Struthio camelus: one gene and its partner. The protein of the gene in region 2 binds, or shares a complex with, the protein of the main gene of each other region. Links are inferred from orthologs where the notes say so. Each region holds a gene or a part of one and is shown on either strand. Other genes may lie near its edges. The genes, in order: CD8A and LCK.

What was found.
Region 1: the proteins of LCK (region 2) and CD8A are in contact, whole or in part, in an NMR structure (PDB 1Q69), measured with the Homo sapiens proteins. The link is inferred for Struthio camelus from reciprocal best matches to the Homo sapiens genes LCK and CD8A. Residues at the interface, in NP_001036236.1 of Homo sapiens: Cys20, Asn22, Cys23, Tyr25, Pro26, Ile27, Val28; in NP_001139345.1 of Homo sapiens: Arg212, Arg213, Val214, Cys215, Lys216, Cys217.

The regions. Positions count from the first base shown.
Region 1 is NC_090945.1:80,836,439-80,844,168, forward strand, and holds the start of CD8A (T-cell surface glycoprotein CD8 alpha chain), read right to left. Parts: upstream 3,215-7,730; 5' UTR 3,079-3,214; coding exon 3,036-3,078; intron 2,343-3,035; coding exon 1,974-2,342; intron 1,143-1,973; coding exon 1,053-1,142; intron 370-1,052; coding exon 253-369; intron 1-252. UniProt on the Homo sapiens protein: Integral membrane glycoprotein that plays an essential role in the immune response and serves multiple functions in responses against both external and internal offenses. In T-cells, functions primarily as a coreceptor for MHC class I molecule:peptide complex.
Region 2 is NC_090964.1:8,587,358-8,595,186, reverse strand, and holds the start of LCK (tyrosine-protein kinase Lck), read right to left. Parts: upstream 3,164-7,829; 5' UTR 3,034-3,163; intron 1-3,033. Other genes in the region: protein FAM167B, read right to left, coding at 4,561-4,824, 5,677-5,976; myotubularin-related protein 9-like, read left to right, coding at 7,034-7,829. UniProt on the Homo sapiens protein: Non-receptor tyrosine-protein kinase that plays an essential role in the selection and maturation of developing T-cells in the thymus and in the function of mature T-cells. Plays a key role in T-cell antigen receptor (TCR)-linked signal transduction pathways.

The DNA of each region.
Region 1 (7,730 bases), on a different chromosome or scaffold from region 2:
TAAATTTTCTCTAATCTGTTGTCTTATAGTGTAGAAGTTGATTATTTCTCAGGCTAAATCTAGAGATGGGGTGAATATGGAAACAGATTTCAAAAGTGGTCCTCCCTTTGGGTTCCCTGCATCCTGGTTAGCTCATGCCTGCATAAGGGGAATAGCTGCAGCACGTCCCTTCCCCTGAAGGACAGAGCCGTGCTCTTCGGTTTCAGGCTAGAGGGCTATCTGTGGGATGGGGGCTAAGCGCAGGTCTCTTACTTTGACACAGAGTGATGGTGATCACCAGGGCAGTGAGGAGGAGAAGACAGCCGCAAGCCAAGGGAACCCAGATGAAAATGTCACAGAAGAAATTCAGTCCTTTCTGCTTGCTTGTCTCTGCAGGGATAAAGGAGAGAGAAGAGGAGATGTCCACTAGGCGCTCGGGACGGGTGTTACGGCCAGCGCTGGTGGAGGTGTGCAGAGACCCTCAGCCAAGGGACCCGGCCTGCTTTCAGCGAAGCTGATGTTAGCTGTAGGTGAGGCAGAGGGCTTCCCTGTCCCGCAAGGGAGGGTTGGTCGCCAAGGGGTCCACAAGCACAGCCCATGTGTCGTCCCGGTTCCTGGGGACCTGAGGGAGGGCGCGTAACCTAATGTTTTCTTGCGTCCCCTGCTGAGGCTAAAGCGAGCGCCAGCCCGCAGGGCTCTGACCTCCTTCAACCTCTCCCTCTTCTCAGTGTGCCCAGCCGTGAGATGCATGCTAGGGCTTTTAAAGTCATCCTTAGCCTTTCTGGAGTGGAGTAAAACAGGGGCTTGAATTTTAATCTTATCTGTGTGTACCTCATGATCCAACTTTGATAAAGCTTAAAGGATCTTCCCTCTCCCCCCATTCCCAAAATGCCTTTAGCCAGTACAGGCTTTGCACTTGGCTCTTCAAACCCAAAACACCACTGTTGGCCTGGAAAAAATGTAGGACAACAGCATGTGGTCTTGCAGCAAGTGCGGAGGATCCCCTGTATGTGGGCTGAGAGAGGCCCAGCAGAGCCTGGCTCCTTCCCTCTCCCTCCCTGCAGCTCCGTTACCTGGTGCGGGCGTCTTTAGGCAGGTCTCTGTCTTGGTGAGGCTGCCCTGGGTGGTGGGTGCAGCTGTGGTGGGTGCCTTTGTGGTTGGGACTGCAGGCGAAAATGGAGGAATAGGGAACGTAGTGAAACACAGAAAAACCAGCATGCTCTCTACCTCCCCTTTGCTCTGCCACCGCTGCCAGAACAGGACCCAGCTTCTGGTAACTTTGCATAGCCCATTTTGGACTGTGGCTCCCCCATAACAACACTCCCGTGAGTGGGATTTCCCAAGATCATGGCCCAGAAACACACTGCAAGAGCTGCAGTCTCCTTATCTCTTCTTTTCTGCTACAACCCCTACAGCATCTGAGTCCCATCTTATCAGTAGCTATCAGGAAAAGTGTACTGAAAGCCAGGATGACCTCTCAAGTATGACCTCTGCTTTGCTTGTGATTTTCTTTTTAAGGTGCTGAAAGTACTTTGAGGTTGGGAGGACTTCTAGGGCCTATGCAAAGTGGGGAAGGAGGGGGTGGTTGTGGACTTACTTTTAGTCCTATGCCTTCTGAGCTGTGAATGGAGTGGGAAGGTGACCCTGGGTCCGTCCGATCATCTCTGCCTCTGGGCAGGGACAGTACCACAGTTGGTTGTATAGACCTTGCACCCTATTTGAGGATTCCCAAACCCTGATAATATGAGTGGTCAGTGAAGATGAAGAGAAAAGGGGATGTAGCACACACAGGAGGGCTGCAGAGATGTTCACCAGAAGAGCTGGTGAGTGGAGAGCCTCCAGCAGAAGGACCAGTGTATTGATTACAAGATGCATTGGGCAAAGAGGCAGAGGAGATGGGGTTTATGGGAGATGGTTCTGATTAGAAAAGGCATGGACAAGGGCTGTTGGGGGTTTTGGCAGAGCAAACAGAAGTGGGCAAAGATGTTGCTGACCTGGGATGAAGGCAGGCTGGCCGTTGCTGAAATGCAGCATTTGGTTGCTGTTAATGAGGCAGAAATAATTTCCCTGGTCCTGCACCGAGAAAGACTTTATGACCAGTCGGTAGAAGCTGCTGTCTCTCATTGCCTGAAAGCGTGCAGATGTTCCCATGTTCCCTATAAAGGTCGTCCGAGACAGGGAAGAAATGAACACGATGAAGTGAAGGGTGCCATCCTTGTCCTGGCGCATCCAGGATACCCCACTGTCCCTCTCGGTAGGCAGACACTCCAGCTCCAGCCGCTGCCCCAGAATGGGGTGTGTGATCTTGCTGTCCCGAAACCTGGCTGTCATCTTGTACTTCTGGCCCTGGATCCCACAGCAGCCTGCAGAAGAGAAATCTCGTCTCCCTTCACAGTCCGCTCGCCCTCAGCGAAACCACTTGGAAAAGCCGTGTCCCTTCTGGACGAAGCATGGGATCTGCCTCTTGGGGCTTAGTCTTTGTGGAAAACCTTTTTCCTTGCTAGTTAGTGCTACGCAGAAACACGGGGTGTGGAGTAAAATGCCAAGGGAGGACCACGCCATCTGGCTGACTTAAATATTTCACTTGAGTCCTTGCTGAGAGCATGCTTAGAAGGTACTCAGCAGTCACCCACCCAATCTTTAAAGACAGATCCTCCCATTCAGAGGAACCTTTCAGGTGCCTTCTCTGGAATGGTACCGTATCCCAACTTATTTAAAGTGACTCCCTAATAATGTTGACTGCTGAAAGCCCCATTTCCTCCCTTTTTCCCTCCCTTCCAGAAAGAGTCATCTGGCTGGGCTCCGTTACCCATGGTGTAATGCCAGAGCTACACTGCTCACTGCTCTGCACAGATGGATTTGAGACTTTCTGTACCTCCACTTCACGCGTTTACCAAGCAAACCTGAAAGTTAGTCTTTCTGGTCTGCTTTTTTTCCCCCCCTTTTGACTTTTTTTTTCCAGTTTATTGGATTCAGACAAAAGGGGAACGTCTTAACCTCTCGTTTTACTTTCTGCTCCCGGACAAGGTCATATACCGCCTTGCTTCCATACTTACCGAGACCCAGACTGAGCAGAAACAGCAGCGGAGTTCTGGCCATTTGCTCCTAGTGGTGACCGTCCTCAAGGGTGGTGCAGCGGCACAAAGATGATCTTTCTAGGTTGACTTCGGAGACTGTAGTTTTTTGGAGAGGATGTGACGTCATCAGGACCCTCTTATGTAAGGAGACAGTTCTAAGCATCTAAGGCAGAATGAAGTATGAAAAGATTTCTGAAGAAATTCAGCTTTAAATCAATATTTGGGCTCATTTACCTTTTTTTTTTTTTCTTTAAAGGAGTCTCAAGGATTTTTGCCTTGACCACTTTACTAGAGAGTAATACTGACAACACTTGTGCTTGAAATGGGATCAGCCACCGTAAATTGCCGTCTCCCAGTCGTTTGGGGGATTTACATCATGTCTAGCTCTGCAGGAAACATGAAAATGTCCCATGCCCTGATGCGGACCCCAAATTGCATTTCTTGGCAGAGTGTGCTCTGGAGTGGTCTAGTGTGGACATGAGAGCACGCTGTGTCTTATTATACAGCAAAAAAGTCCACAGTGGTATTTTACAGCATGTATCCATACATATATATTTTTTTAAATCTCCAAGAGATTTGCTGACATGCAGGTTGGCTCCTCTGGTGCCTTTGCTCAGTTGTTCCCTTTTCAATTGTTCTTTGCAATTTCTCTGCAGAAGTTGCTTTGTGCAAAGCAGATGGTCTGTGTAATGTGAAACCCATCAAGAAAGCCCCACGTCCCAGTGGTATGCCTTTTTTTAACATTTTGAGGTTTTCTTCTGCAACCACAGTGACTTCCGCCCTGCCAAATAAACCCTTACACTCTTTGACACATGGCGCCCTTGCTGCTGTCTCCTGGTGACCACTTGCACAGGGGTAGGGGTTTATACTTCCTGCAGCTCTGCACAGCACAAGAGCAACTTTTTCACCACACCAGAGAGGCTTTGGGCTGTTGTATTCTTTCCTTCTTATTTTGGTCCCTCCTGCTTTTCCTGCCTATTTTTTGGGGGTTGTTTTTTTTTTCTCTGAGCGAGATGTTGTTCTGTTACCCCTTTGCAAAGAAAGACCCCCCCCTTTCCTGGGCACATCAGAGACCAGGCCCTGCCAACTTTGATGCGACTGCTGTTGTGGCTGCTACTTAGAGACGATGGTTGCGAGCGAAAGAGCTGGTTTAGGCACTGGGTTTATTTCACTGGGCATCAAAGCATCTGGAGGGAGTGAGGGAAGCTGCTGTTGGGCCTGCTAAGACCTGGACAATGCATGTCTTCGTGAGGCTGTGAGACTTCTGATGACTGCCTGAGTGGAACAGATATTTGTAAAATGAAAGAGAACATCAATTTCGTTAAATAACGTTGCAAGGATTCAGATCTAGAACTCCTATCAAGCAGATGTGAACTTCAGACTTGAGGGGAAAGTCATCTCTTTACTAACGCCAAGTTAGGCTTTTCTATTTCTCTTTTCAGCGGGTGGTTTACTCTCCTTATCCGAAGTAGAATTCACACTTCTCTTAAAATGGGATAAAGTGCCTTTTGGAAGTGTCTGTCCTCACTTACTAATGCAGGAACCTAGACAAGCAACTTAAGCTACATGCCTGCCTTTTAGATGCCTGAAGTTGGATCTCATGTTTTCGGAGATGCTGAAGTGAGTTGGTTCCTACCTTACATCAAGACCCCCCCGCTTGCACCACTGTTACAACTCTGTGACACAAAAGCAAAAGTATTTCACAAATATTTTAAAAAGTACAACCCACCAAGGGCCAAAGTAGGAATATTGATGGTTCTCTTTATTCAGTGTGGTTTGGATGAAAGCAAACCTGTTGGCAGATGTTTAATTTCTGGAGGACATGTTCTTTGCAACGCAAAACAGGGAGACTCAGTGTTTATCAGAACTAGATTCTCGCTCTGCCCAAGTGCACTCTGCCATGCCTATACTGTGGAGTTAATATCCTCAGGTATATGGTGATGGGAGACCTATATAATTAGAATAAAGGATAACCTAGTGAAGGCTATTGCCTTTTTTTTTTTTTTTACTAGGGATATCTTCCTTCTCTCCTTTCTATAATGAACAATATATTTTGTTTATGAATCAGTCTCCAGATACCAAACTGGAGCCCAGTGGCTCCTCTCCTAGGTGCAGAGGGACCCCGCAGCTCACTGCTCGAACTGGTTTCCCTGTGAGACCACCCTTTCCTGTGCCATGTTTAGACCCTGAGTGCTATGCTGGAGTTCAAAGGACTCCTTTTGATATTTTTCTTTGCTGAAGTGCTTTATGACTTTCCACTACAGGAAAGATGCCTTCAACCCCCATCTCTTTTGCTGCCTGCTTGCTGCATTGCACGGGTCCTGTCGAGGGGAGCCTCGCTGAGGCACAGGAGATGGCATTAGGGGGAGCTATTCCTTTATACAGTAAGCTCCTAATGAATATACCCCTTTAGGGCAAGACAAAAGGGTATTGTCAGTAGAGAGCTAGAGATCAAACCAGGCTGTCATACATCTCTTTCCAACACGGACGCCCTTCGTGGGCCAGAAGAGGAGCCGGGGAAGTGTTGCTTCCATGGAGAAGTCTGTGTCTGATTGCCTGAAACCACCCTTTTTATGCACTTCCATCTCTTGTGTCCTAAATAATACATTCGCTGGGGCGGGTATCCTGTATTTTTGGCCCTGTGTGTATATATCGCTCAGCACAAAGGGGTTTCTATAGTAACAAGTAAGTACAACTAAAACAGTGGCGAGGGTAGTTATTTGAGTATGAAAAGCTGCAGGCACAAACAAGACCTCTAGGAAAAGCTGTACTTTCAAATCTGCTCCTGTATAAATAATTTAGATCAGCAGCACAGTGGTGCGCTCTGATCTCAGCTATATTGGGGCCAGTGTGCTGCCGTGCTGAGGGGTGTAAATCTGGTGAGACTGGCCCCGTCAGGTCTGTGTACGTGCTTTGAGGTCCCTTGTTGTAATGCTGTGAATCTCATGTTGAATGCAAAGAATGCAAATCAGTCCGGCAGCTTCAACTCAGCAGAAAGTATACGTGTATTTTACACTGGTCACCTCCTCTGGAATGGGTGGTTGAGATGGTTAATGAGATTAATTTGATTTTAGCCCGCTCTAGTTTGGCAGTTTATCCTCTAGATGATGCTCTGCAGTAGACTTGTCGTTGTTAGACTGAGGGCCAGACGTCAAATCAGCAAAAGCTAGTGTTAATAACATGTTTTTATTAATAATTTCTGTTGCAGTGCCACAGTTATGATATGACTAAGGAAGAAAAGACAATTTGGACAACCAGTTACTTCTACAGAACATTTTATAAGAGATGTGAACGGATCAGACAGATTGGTTAGACAGTAGACGGTAACTTTTTTTTTTCTCCCGTACCTACCAATAGGTTTCATTTTACTTTTGAGTTCGGTCGCAGGTCTCTGACTGCTGGTGAACTCTAACCTATGTTGCTTATGACTGAGACTGAATTATTATATACTAAGGCCAACCTGGATTAATTTGTGATGTTCCAGATCCACTTGTTCTCAGCTTCTTTGCTCCTTAGCCCTGCTGGATCCTCACCTGCCAAACCAGTGATTGCCAAGAGCACTGGTGGGGTGTCAGTCACGCCATGACATAACACAAACTTGATCCGGATGTGGTCATCTCACATGCAAAGATGGGGTGGGAACAGTGAAGGAGAAAAGCAGCATATCAGTGTGTGGGATCTTTCCCTTCATTGCAGATAGAATTGTTTTCCCAGGATCCAAGCAAGTTTGTAAAACAAAATTGAACTGATTTTGTAAGAGAGACAAGATTGGGTGGTGGAGGTGCAATTATGATTAGAGCCACTGATAGAGTTGGAAAACAGAGATGAGCTTTCAGGTACGCAAGTCCTTTCTGCAGTGAGAAACAGGAACAGCAAGGTTTGCGGTATGTAGAAGTTGGGGGGATTTGATCTCTGTTTAATTTATTTATATGTCAACAACTAAACAGAAGAAGGTGTGAGCAAAGGGAGAGGAGACAAAGTCACATGGGGAAGAGACAGACTGACAAGGGCTAGCGTCTTTGGGATGGGGCTTGGCAGGAGGTGAGTTCAGGATCAGTTTTCTCTGTACTTGCTGAGGAGATTTAAGTTGGTAAAGCCAGGGGAGATTTCCCAACATGGACCAGGACACAGATTTACGGTAATGCTAATATATTCAAGAGTGGGCTTTTGAATGGGGGTCATCTCGGTTTTTGGAAACATTAGTGGGGTTGCATGGGTTATCTATTAAGTCTCTCTCCCTGCTCTTACAGAAATTGTAAATTAAAGGAATCAACACTTCTTTGAAGTAGTTAAAAATTACATCCCTTTAACAGAGAAGACACTGGAAGTGAGAGGGCACTTGCGGTATCAGATATGCTGAGTTTTGGGTATGACTGATGTCTTAGCCATTTTATGGAAGAATCAATTATGCAGCGAATTTTTTGTAGCAGTAACAATCTCATCAGCTGAGTGGTATGGCTGTCCTATAGGAGTGTGTGCCTGGTAGCAGGAGCCTGTCTCAGGGCATGGAGTTACATTGTGATGGTCAGGAGACACAAGAGGAACATCACAATGACCACGCTCTCTCAGGTCAGTCATTTCTGCTGCTAATGGTATTTCGCCAGAAGGCTTGAAAAGAAGAAAACCTCTGTTCCAACAGCTTAAGCGACAATACAACATTGCTTATGAGGAGCA
Region 2 (7,829 bases):
ATGGCTACAGCTCCGGCTGGGCACGTCGCGTGGCGTAGCCGCAGCCTCGGCGGCGCTGACGGCATCCCCTGACTGTCATCAGCCGCGGTTTTTGTTCTGCCTTTGCTAATTAACAACGCCGATGGCAATTCCTTCCCCGGGCCGGTGCTTCCCGAGCTCCCGGCAGCCTCCCCCTGCGGCCGCCCCGGCTTGGGGCTGCCCCCTCCTGCCGCGGCTCCTTCCCCCTCGCAGCCCTTAGGCTGATTCCTACCGGCTCCCTTTTACTTAATCAGTCTATCGTTACTACTCGATTAGCAATTAATAATTCTTTGCGTGGCGTTGCATCAAGCATTTGACGAGGTCCTTGGCCTTCAAAGCAGCTCCTGCAGTCGGCGGGAAGAGCTTCCACGCACCCACCCCCGGCGTCACCCCCAGTTTCCTTCTCGCCCCCGGGGCGTTCGTTACCCTTGCGCTGGGCCGAGAGCTTTGCAAACTGCAGCGCTAACGAGCTCAGCAGCCGCCGGGCCCGTTAGCGCCTCAGCCCCCGGGGCCGCAGGGCTGCTGCACCCTCCCGCTGGCGTCGCGCTCTCTTTTCCGGCAGGGCCCGTCCCCTGCAGAGCGACTCGTCTGAGGGCTGGGGGGGGTCGGACCCCCGCGCCCCTGGGCTCTGCTTTCTCCTGCATCAGGGCTGTGCTCTAAACCCCAGTCGCTCCTCGGGGGCCCCTCGGCAGCTCGCCCCTCGACAGCGGGGACCCCCCCCCCGGACCTCGAGCATCCCCCAGTTTGCACGGTTTGGGCGCCGGGGCCGCCGGGCAGCAGTGCCGCACGCCGCAGGAAGCGCCCGGGCGCTGCAAACCGCCCGGGAGGCTCGCGCCCTCCCGCCGCGGCCGAGCGCGGCACGAAGCCGGGGGTCCCGGCAGCCAAAGGGGGAGAGGGGGCCATCCCGCCGGAGCGACGATGCCCGCCGGCGCTGCTAACACCGACGCTACCTTCTCCTTATTTTTCCCTTCCCCAGAGTGCCACCCTTTAAAAACGCGTCTCTGCTTTTCACAAAAGCGTCCATTTAACTTGGCCGCCACGCGGGCTGGCGGCTGGAGGGCAGCGGGACGCGACCCTCGAGCGGTTTCGCTTGCATGTGCGTAACCGCACGGGGCTGGGGGGGAGCAGCCAGCCGGGGCGTGGGAACCGGGGGGGTCCCCAGGGTGGCACCGGCCCCAGCACCCGCCGCCGGAGCCGCTGCCTCGCTGCCACGTCAGCGCCCGGGGCGCGGGCTGTATTTTTTGACATTTTTGCCTGTCTTCCCCTCTCCGGGCCGGGGCGGCTGCGCCGCGGGCTGTTTTTGAAGACGGCGGACATCCTCCCTCGCCCCCGCGATGGAGAAGCACAAGGGGGTTCGGCGCGGCCGTGCCGCCGGGGGACGGCGCATCCGCCCCGCGGCGCGAGCTGCCCCGGCAGCCGGCACGGAGAGGGTGGGCGCGCGAGCCCCGCCGTGCCCTCCAGCGCTGCTCGGGCGCCTGACACCCCCCAAAACACCCGGCTGCTTTCAGCTTCCGGCTGCACCTACGTGAAGAAGCTCTTTGGTGGCGGCTAACGGCCCGGAGCCGAGCGCTCGGCCGGGCTGCGGCGGCCCGAGGAGGGCGAGGGGCCGCGGGGGCCGCTGAGCGCGGGCTCCGTCCGCTCCCGGGGCCGGCCCCGAGTGACCCAACCGGGGCAAGACCTCGGCCCCGGCGGAGGAAAAGCCGTGCGACCTCGCAAGCCTGCAAGCAGCCCTGCGAGCTGCGAGCGCTGACACGCTCACCGAAGGCAAACAGTGCCAAGAGGTGTTTTTTCCTTTGTGCAAGAAGCCGGGGAAGGGAGGGAGGTGCGTGCTGGTGCTGTGTGTAATTTTTCTTTTTTATGTACTCAAGCCACAGAGTAATTTCCACCAAACAACCGTTTCACCTGCTCAGCGTGAGGGGCATGCCGTGTCGCGGGGCGTTTGAAGTCAGGTTTTGCAACTGCATCGGTGTAACTGAATTTCTCGTGTCAAGGCTGCGTGCGAGTGATGTGTGTAGGCGCCCTTGCCCCGCGCCGGGGCCCGGCTCTGGGGCGCAGGGCTGCGCCTGCCGGCCTGCGGGCGCCTGCACCCGCTCGCGGGTGCGTGCAGGGGCCCACGCATGCCTGCATGTGCCCACACATGGGTGTGGGTGCCCACGCGTGTATGTGCCCCTACATGCATGCAGGTGCCCACGCATGCGTGCAGGCACCGCTCCCTGGGTTTGCTTGCCGGCGTGTCCGCCCGTGTGCAACCGGTTCTGGAGGAGCTGCCATGTGCCAGCCCGGATGCCATGTTTCTGTGCGCACGCTTCTTCGGCCAGGCCGGCGTTGGTGCCTTTGCCAGCACGCGCGTGGCTGAACGCGAAGCCTGGCGAGGGCTGGCGGCTGGGCTGACCCCCTCCCTCCGCTCCCCAAGGGTCCCCAGCGCTCCCCGGGCCGCCTCGGGCCGCTCTCGCTGGCGGCCGGGCGGTGGCAGCGGCGAAGGCGCTGCTCGCAGCCCTGAGCGTGGGCGGCCGCGTCGCTCGGCCCCGAGTGCCACCGGGTGCCCCAGCGCCGCCGGGTGCCCCAGCGCCGCCGAGCCTTGCAGAGATGCCGGTGACCCGAGCACTTGCCCCTTCCTGCCCTTGTGGCACGGCAATGTTTGCACCTAAAGCAGCCGCATCTCAGCGCCCAAAACCAGCCGGGTTTCACCAGGTGACGGGCACCGAAACCCAGCCGGTGCCTAACGGCTGCCACCCACGGCCGGGGAGCCCTGGCAGGGGGGCTCGGGGCCGCCCCGGGAACGGCCTCTCCTCGGCCCCGGGCCCGGCGCGACCGCCCAGGCGCCGTGTCTGAGCCTGCGCCCGGCCGCGGCGCCCGCCGGCTCCCTCCCGGGACGTCGCTCCCACCCCATCTCCATCCCGCCCGGGTGACTTTGGAGAGCGCGAAGGGACCCCCTCCACCCCGGCCGGGCTCCCGCGGGGTCCCCAGCTCCCGGGCCGGCGCAACCCCTCCGCGGGCGCCCCGGGCACCCGGTACCTGTCGGCAGCGAGGCGAGGACCGGCCGCGCTCAGATTTCCATGGCCCGGCAGCGGGAGCGAAGGCGCCGTGCCCGCTCACGCCCTGCTCTCCATCCTCGGGCAGACGGTGCCGGGCGAGGAGGCGAGAGCCTGGGGCGCGCGCTCGCCGCCGCCGCCGCTCACGCTCGCTCGCTCGCCGCCTTCCCTGGTTTCCTGCCTCATGAGCAAACTCTAGAGAAGCTGGTTCACAGCTCGCGCACGACCGCAAGTGCTGGCGACCAACCCCAGGGGCTTCCTGCCAGCCGGGCCGGGCTGCGCAGCGGCGCCCGGGCTCCCACCCGCCGGCACCGGGTGCCCCCCGCGCTCACCCCGGGTGGATGCACCCAGCCCACCCGCGTGAACGCGGCAGCCCGGGGAAGGGGGGGACCCAGCGTGGGGCCCCACGGCGTCGGGAGCGGGCAGCGAACGACGCGAGACGGGGATGCTCGGGGCGACCGGCGAGGGCTGGGACGGAGCCGGCAGGGCCGCCCCCGCCAGGACCCCGGCCGGAGGGGGAGCGGGGGCTTGCGTGGGGTGGGGGACATGCTGCAAGGGGCTGGGGCGGCCAGGATTTTATTATGCTCCCCGGATCGTCCCCCGGCGCCACGAGAGCCCCCGGGCGGAGGGCGGCAGCCCCCCTGCAGCCGCACCGGGAGCTGCGGGGACGCCAGGCCGGGGCCGGCGCGGGCTGGGGGCAGCTCGCCTGCAGGGCTGCGCCACGCCGCCAGCCCCCTGTTTTTGGAGAGCGCTCCGAGCAGAGCGACCGCAAAGCTATTGTCTTGGCTTTCGCGCTCGGAGGCAAAGCCACAGGTCGGTGCCGGCTGCTGCGCGGAGGCAGGGGCAGGAAGCCCAGCCCGCGCCGGGGGGCCGCGGCAGGCGCTGGCGGCGGCTCGAGGGCCCAGCCCGGCCGGCACGGTGCCCGGGGCCGGCCAGCAGCCCCACGCGGCGAGAGGCCACGGGAAGAGACGCGGCGGGAAAGAGGAGAGGGCCGGGGGCGCTCGCCCTCGGCACGGCGGCCGCCGCCGGCTCGGCCTCGACGCGGTTCCGGCATCGCTTCCTGGCGCAGGCGCCCGCGGCCCCGGGCCCCGCCGGGCACGCGTCCAGCCCTGCTCCGCCGGCATCACGGGAGCGCTGCGGCTGCTCCCCGCCGCGTCCTGCTGCAGTCCTGGGAACAGGAAACGGCGGCCGGAAACGGCGCCCGGGGGGCCCGCTGCTTGCCGAGGGCCGGCGCCGGGCACCGGGGCTGCTCGGCCCCCGGCGCCTCCCGGCCTCGGCCGCGGGCTCCAGCTGAGCCGCGACCCGGCAGCGACGGGGCATCTCCCGCAGCCGCTCGGCCCGAGCGCTGCCAGGATGCTGGAGAGGGCACCTGCCGCCGCGCGGCACAGACCCGGGCGGTGGGCTCCGCAAACGACATCGCCGCTCGCCCTCAGCTCCTTTATTCCCTCTCGGAGGGCTGCTTTGCACCGTGGCCCCCCGCCGCCGAGGGGCCCCCGGGGGTCCGGCGCGCTCAGCAGAGGGAGAAGCGGCGGGAGTTGATGTTCATGCGGGTGACGCCGATGTGCTTGAGCGGCGTGGAGAGCAGGAAGGCGGCCTTGGGCGGGATGTTGCAGAGCAGGTCCGAGTCCTCCTCGCAGCCCTCGAGGCCAAAGGTGGCGTCGTCCAGCATCTCCTTGTGCCGGTGGCAGGCCTGCTCCACCTTCAGCCGGTGCAGCTGCCCCCGCAGGCGCATCAGCTGCCGGGCCAGGAGCTGGTCGGCTGCCTGCATCTCCCGCTGCGCGGCGAGAGCGAGCCGTCAGGGTGCTGCCGCCGCCACCCGGGTCACCCGCCCTCGCCCCGGGCAAGGGGAGCCGGGCCACAACCCTCCGGGGGCCACGAGCGCTCCCCTCCCCGGCACTGCGCACAGGGCCCACGTACATGCATCCCCTCCCCAGCACCGTGCACGGGGGCCATGCACACGTGTGTGCACATGTTCCCCCCCAGCACCATCCAGGGGGCCCATGCACGTGTGGGTGCACATGCCTCCCCAGCACCGTGCACGGGGCCCATGCACATGCGTGTGCACATGTTCCCCCCCGGCACTGTGCACAGGGCCCATGCACATGTGGGTGCACATGTTCCCCCCCGGGACCGTGCATGGGGTCCATGCACATGTGTGTGCACATCCCCCCCCAGCACCATGCATGGGGCCCATGCACATGTGGGTGCACATCCTCCCCCAGCACCATGCATGGGGCCCATGCATGTGTGTGTACACATCCTCCCTGGTACCATGCACGGGGCCCACACACACGCATGCACGCCCCCACCGTGCACCCGTGCCCCCGGGACGGCCGCCCCTGGGGCTGCACCCGCACAGCTGTTGCGGTGACCCGCTGCAGAGGCCAGGGCGGCCGCGCCGGCCCGAGGGACGCGCCACGCTGACGCCGGGGCCGTGCCAGCGGCGGAGCAGGCGAGGCGCCGTGCGGGGCAGGCGGGCAGGGACGGGGCGCCGCGCACCCCTCGAAGCAGCCGCCCCTGCGCCAAGCCGCAGCTGGGGCGCCCCGAGCCCGGCGCAGCCCCGCGGCCGCCCCCCGCCGTCCCTCGGGACCCCCGCCCAGCTGCACTCCCCGCGGCGCCCACTCACCAGCTCCGTCCTGAGCCACTGCAGAGCCTCCTGCATGGAGGCGAAGCCGCGGAGGCGGCCGGCCGGCAGCTCCTCGGGGCGCGCCGGCACCCGCTCTGCCCCCCGTGCTTCCCCGGCCCCCTCGGGCGCCCTGCTCGGCCAGGGCTGCCCCTGCACCCGCGCTTTCCACTCCAGGTAGGAGGGCCGCCGCGTCTGCAGCTTCAGCTTGGCCGCCAGTGCCTTCACGCTGTCCAGGCTCTCCTCGTCCGAGCCGGGCTCCTCCTCGCCCAGCTCCTTGAATTTCAGCTGGCTGAAGGGCATGGCAGCGCCCGCGCGGAGCCCCAGCGCCCTGCTGCAACCCTGCTGCCGCCCCCCAAAGCCCTCGTGCAAACACCGCTGCTCCCCCCAAAGTGCTCGTGCAAACACCGCTGCACCCCAAAGCCCTTGTGCAAACACCACTGCTCCCCCCAAAGCCCTCGTGCAAACCCCGCTGCCCCCCAAAGCGCTCGTGCACGCAGGAGAGTGAGGAGCGCTGGCTGCAAGACACCCGCTCCCACCAGCTGTGCGTGAGCCGCAGCTATTTATCCACCCCTAGAACAATAAAGGTTGGGGACGCCGGTGATAATTATAACAAGCAGGAACTTTACTTATCCAGAGAATTGCGAAGGACGGGGGGGGGGTGTTTTTTTTTTGTTTCGTTTCTTTTTTAGTGTTATTGTCTCCAGCTGGGAGGAGACTCCCCACGGAGGAAGCATTAATGAGGACACCAAGGCCTGCAGGGGCGCGAATGATTTATCCTTGGGCGCTCCTGCCCTCCCGCGCTGTTATCGGCACGGGGCCGACACCGACTTCCCGCCGGGCTGGGAGCGAGGGAGGGCTGCGAGGTCCCCGAATGCCACCTCCGAGCAGAGCAAAAAAATGGGGAAGGAAAAAAAAAAACCTGCTGCTCCGTCCCGCAGCGCCGGGCTCCGCTTTCAGCACTCGGCTCAGTGCCGGGCAGGAGGGGGGTGCTCACCCCGGGCCAGGCACCCCGGGGTCTGCACCCTGGGGTGCTGCCGGGCTCACCCCGGAGGGCTTTGGGTGGCCCCGGCGCCAGCTGTGCAGCCAGCTGTGCACCGCCAGGTCGCTGCAGCCCTGGAGCTGCTGCTCGCAGCTGCGTCGCCGTTAAGGTGGAACCTGCCGGGCCGGGAGGGAGCAGCGGCCCCAGGAGCCCCGCGGGCCGGGGCTGGAGCCGGTTCGGCCTGGCCCCCCGCCACTCCCCCCTCTTCCCGGCCACCGGCTCGGCCTGGCCCCCCGCTGCCCCGCACGGGGCTCGGAGCTAGTGTGTGCACAGACACGTAGAGGGCTGCGTGGGGGTGTCGGAGGCACCACGCTGCCAATGTGCTGGCACCCCCTACGCCCGGCTTCTGCCCCTCTTCCCGGCGCAGAAGGCTCTGCGATGGCCACAGCAGCCGCAGGGCTGCTCCCTGCAGCCGGGGCCTGCAGGAATGACGGCAGCTTACGGCCGCTGCTGCCCACCTCCTGCCACCGCCTGCAGCCCCAGAAAACCTGGAGAGGTCCCCAAGGACGCTGCCTCCAGCTCCCTTTGGTCCCCCGTGCTGAAAGCCCCGTGTCCCCTTGTGCTGTTGCCCATGCTACGGTTCCCAGGGTGCCCTTGGCCCTTTTCCCGCGCTGCCCGCAGCCCCTTCCCACCCTGCTCCTGCCCCTTTTCCCGCGCTGCCCTCGGCCCCTTCCCACCCTGCTCCTGCCCCTTTTCCCGCGCTGCCCGCAGCCCCTTCCCACCCTGCTCCTGCCCCTTTTCCCGCGCTGCCCTCGGCGCTTCCCTGCGCTGCCGGTGCCAGGTCCGAGCATCCCGCCCTGGCTAGGGAGCATCGCCGCCAGCCCCGGCCGCACGGCGAGGGCCGGGTCCCCGCCGGCACAGCGACGCCGAGGCCAGGCCACCTTAAAGCCGACATCCTCCCGGGCGGGCGCCGAGCCCGAGCTGCGGCTGCGAGCCTCACCCGCGCCCGCCGCTCAGTTCCTGCCGCCGAGCCGACCGACCGTCGCCCAGTTCCTGCCGCCGACCGTCGCTCGGTGGGTCGGGGCTGGCGGCGGCGAGGACGGCGCTGCCGTTCCCACGCCCTCGCGCCCGCCGGGGCATCGCCGCCGGCTTGCCCGCACGCGGCGAGCCCTCG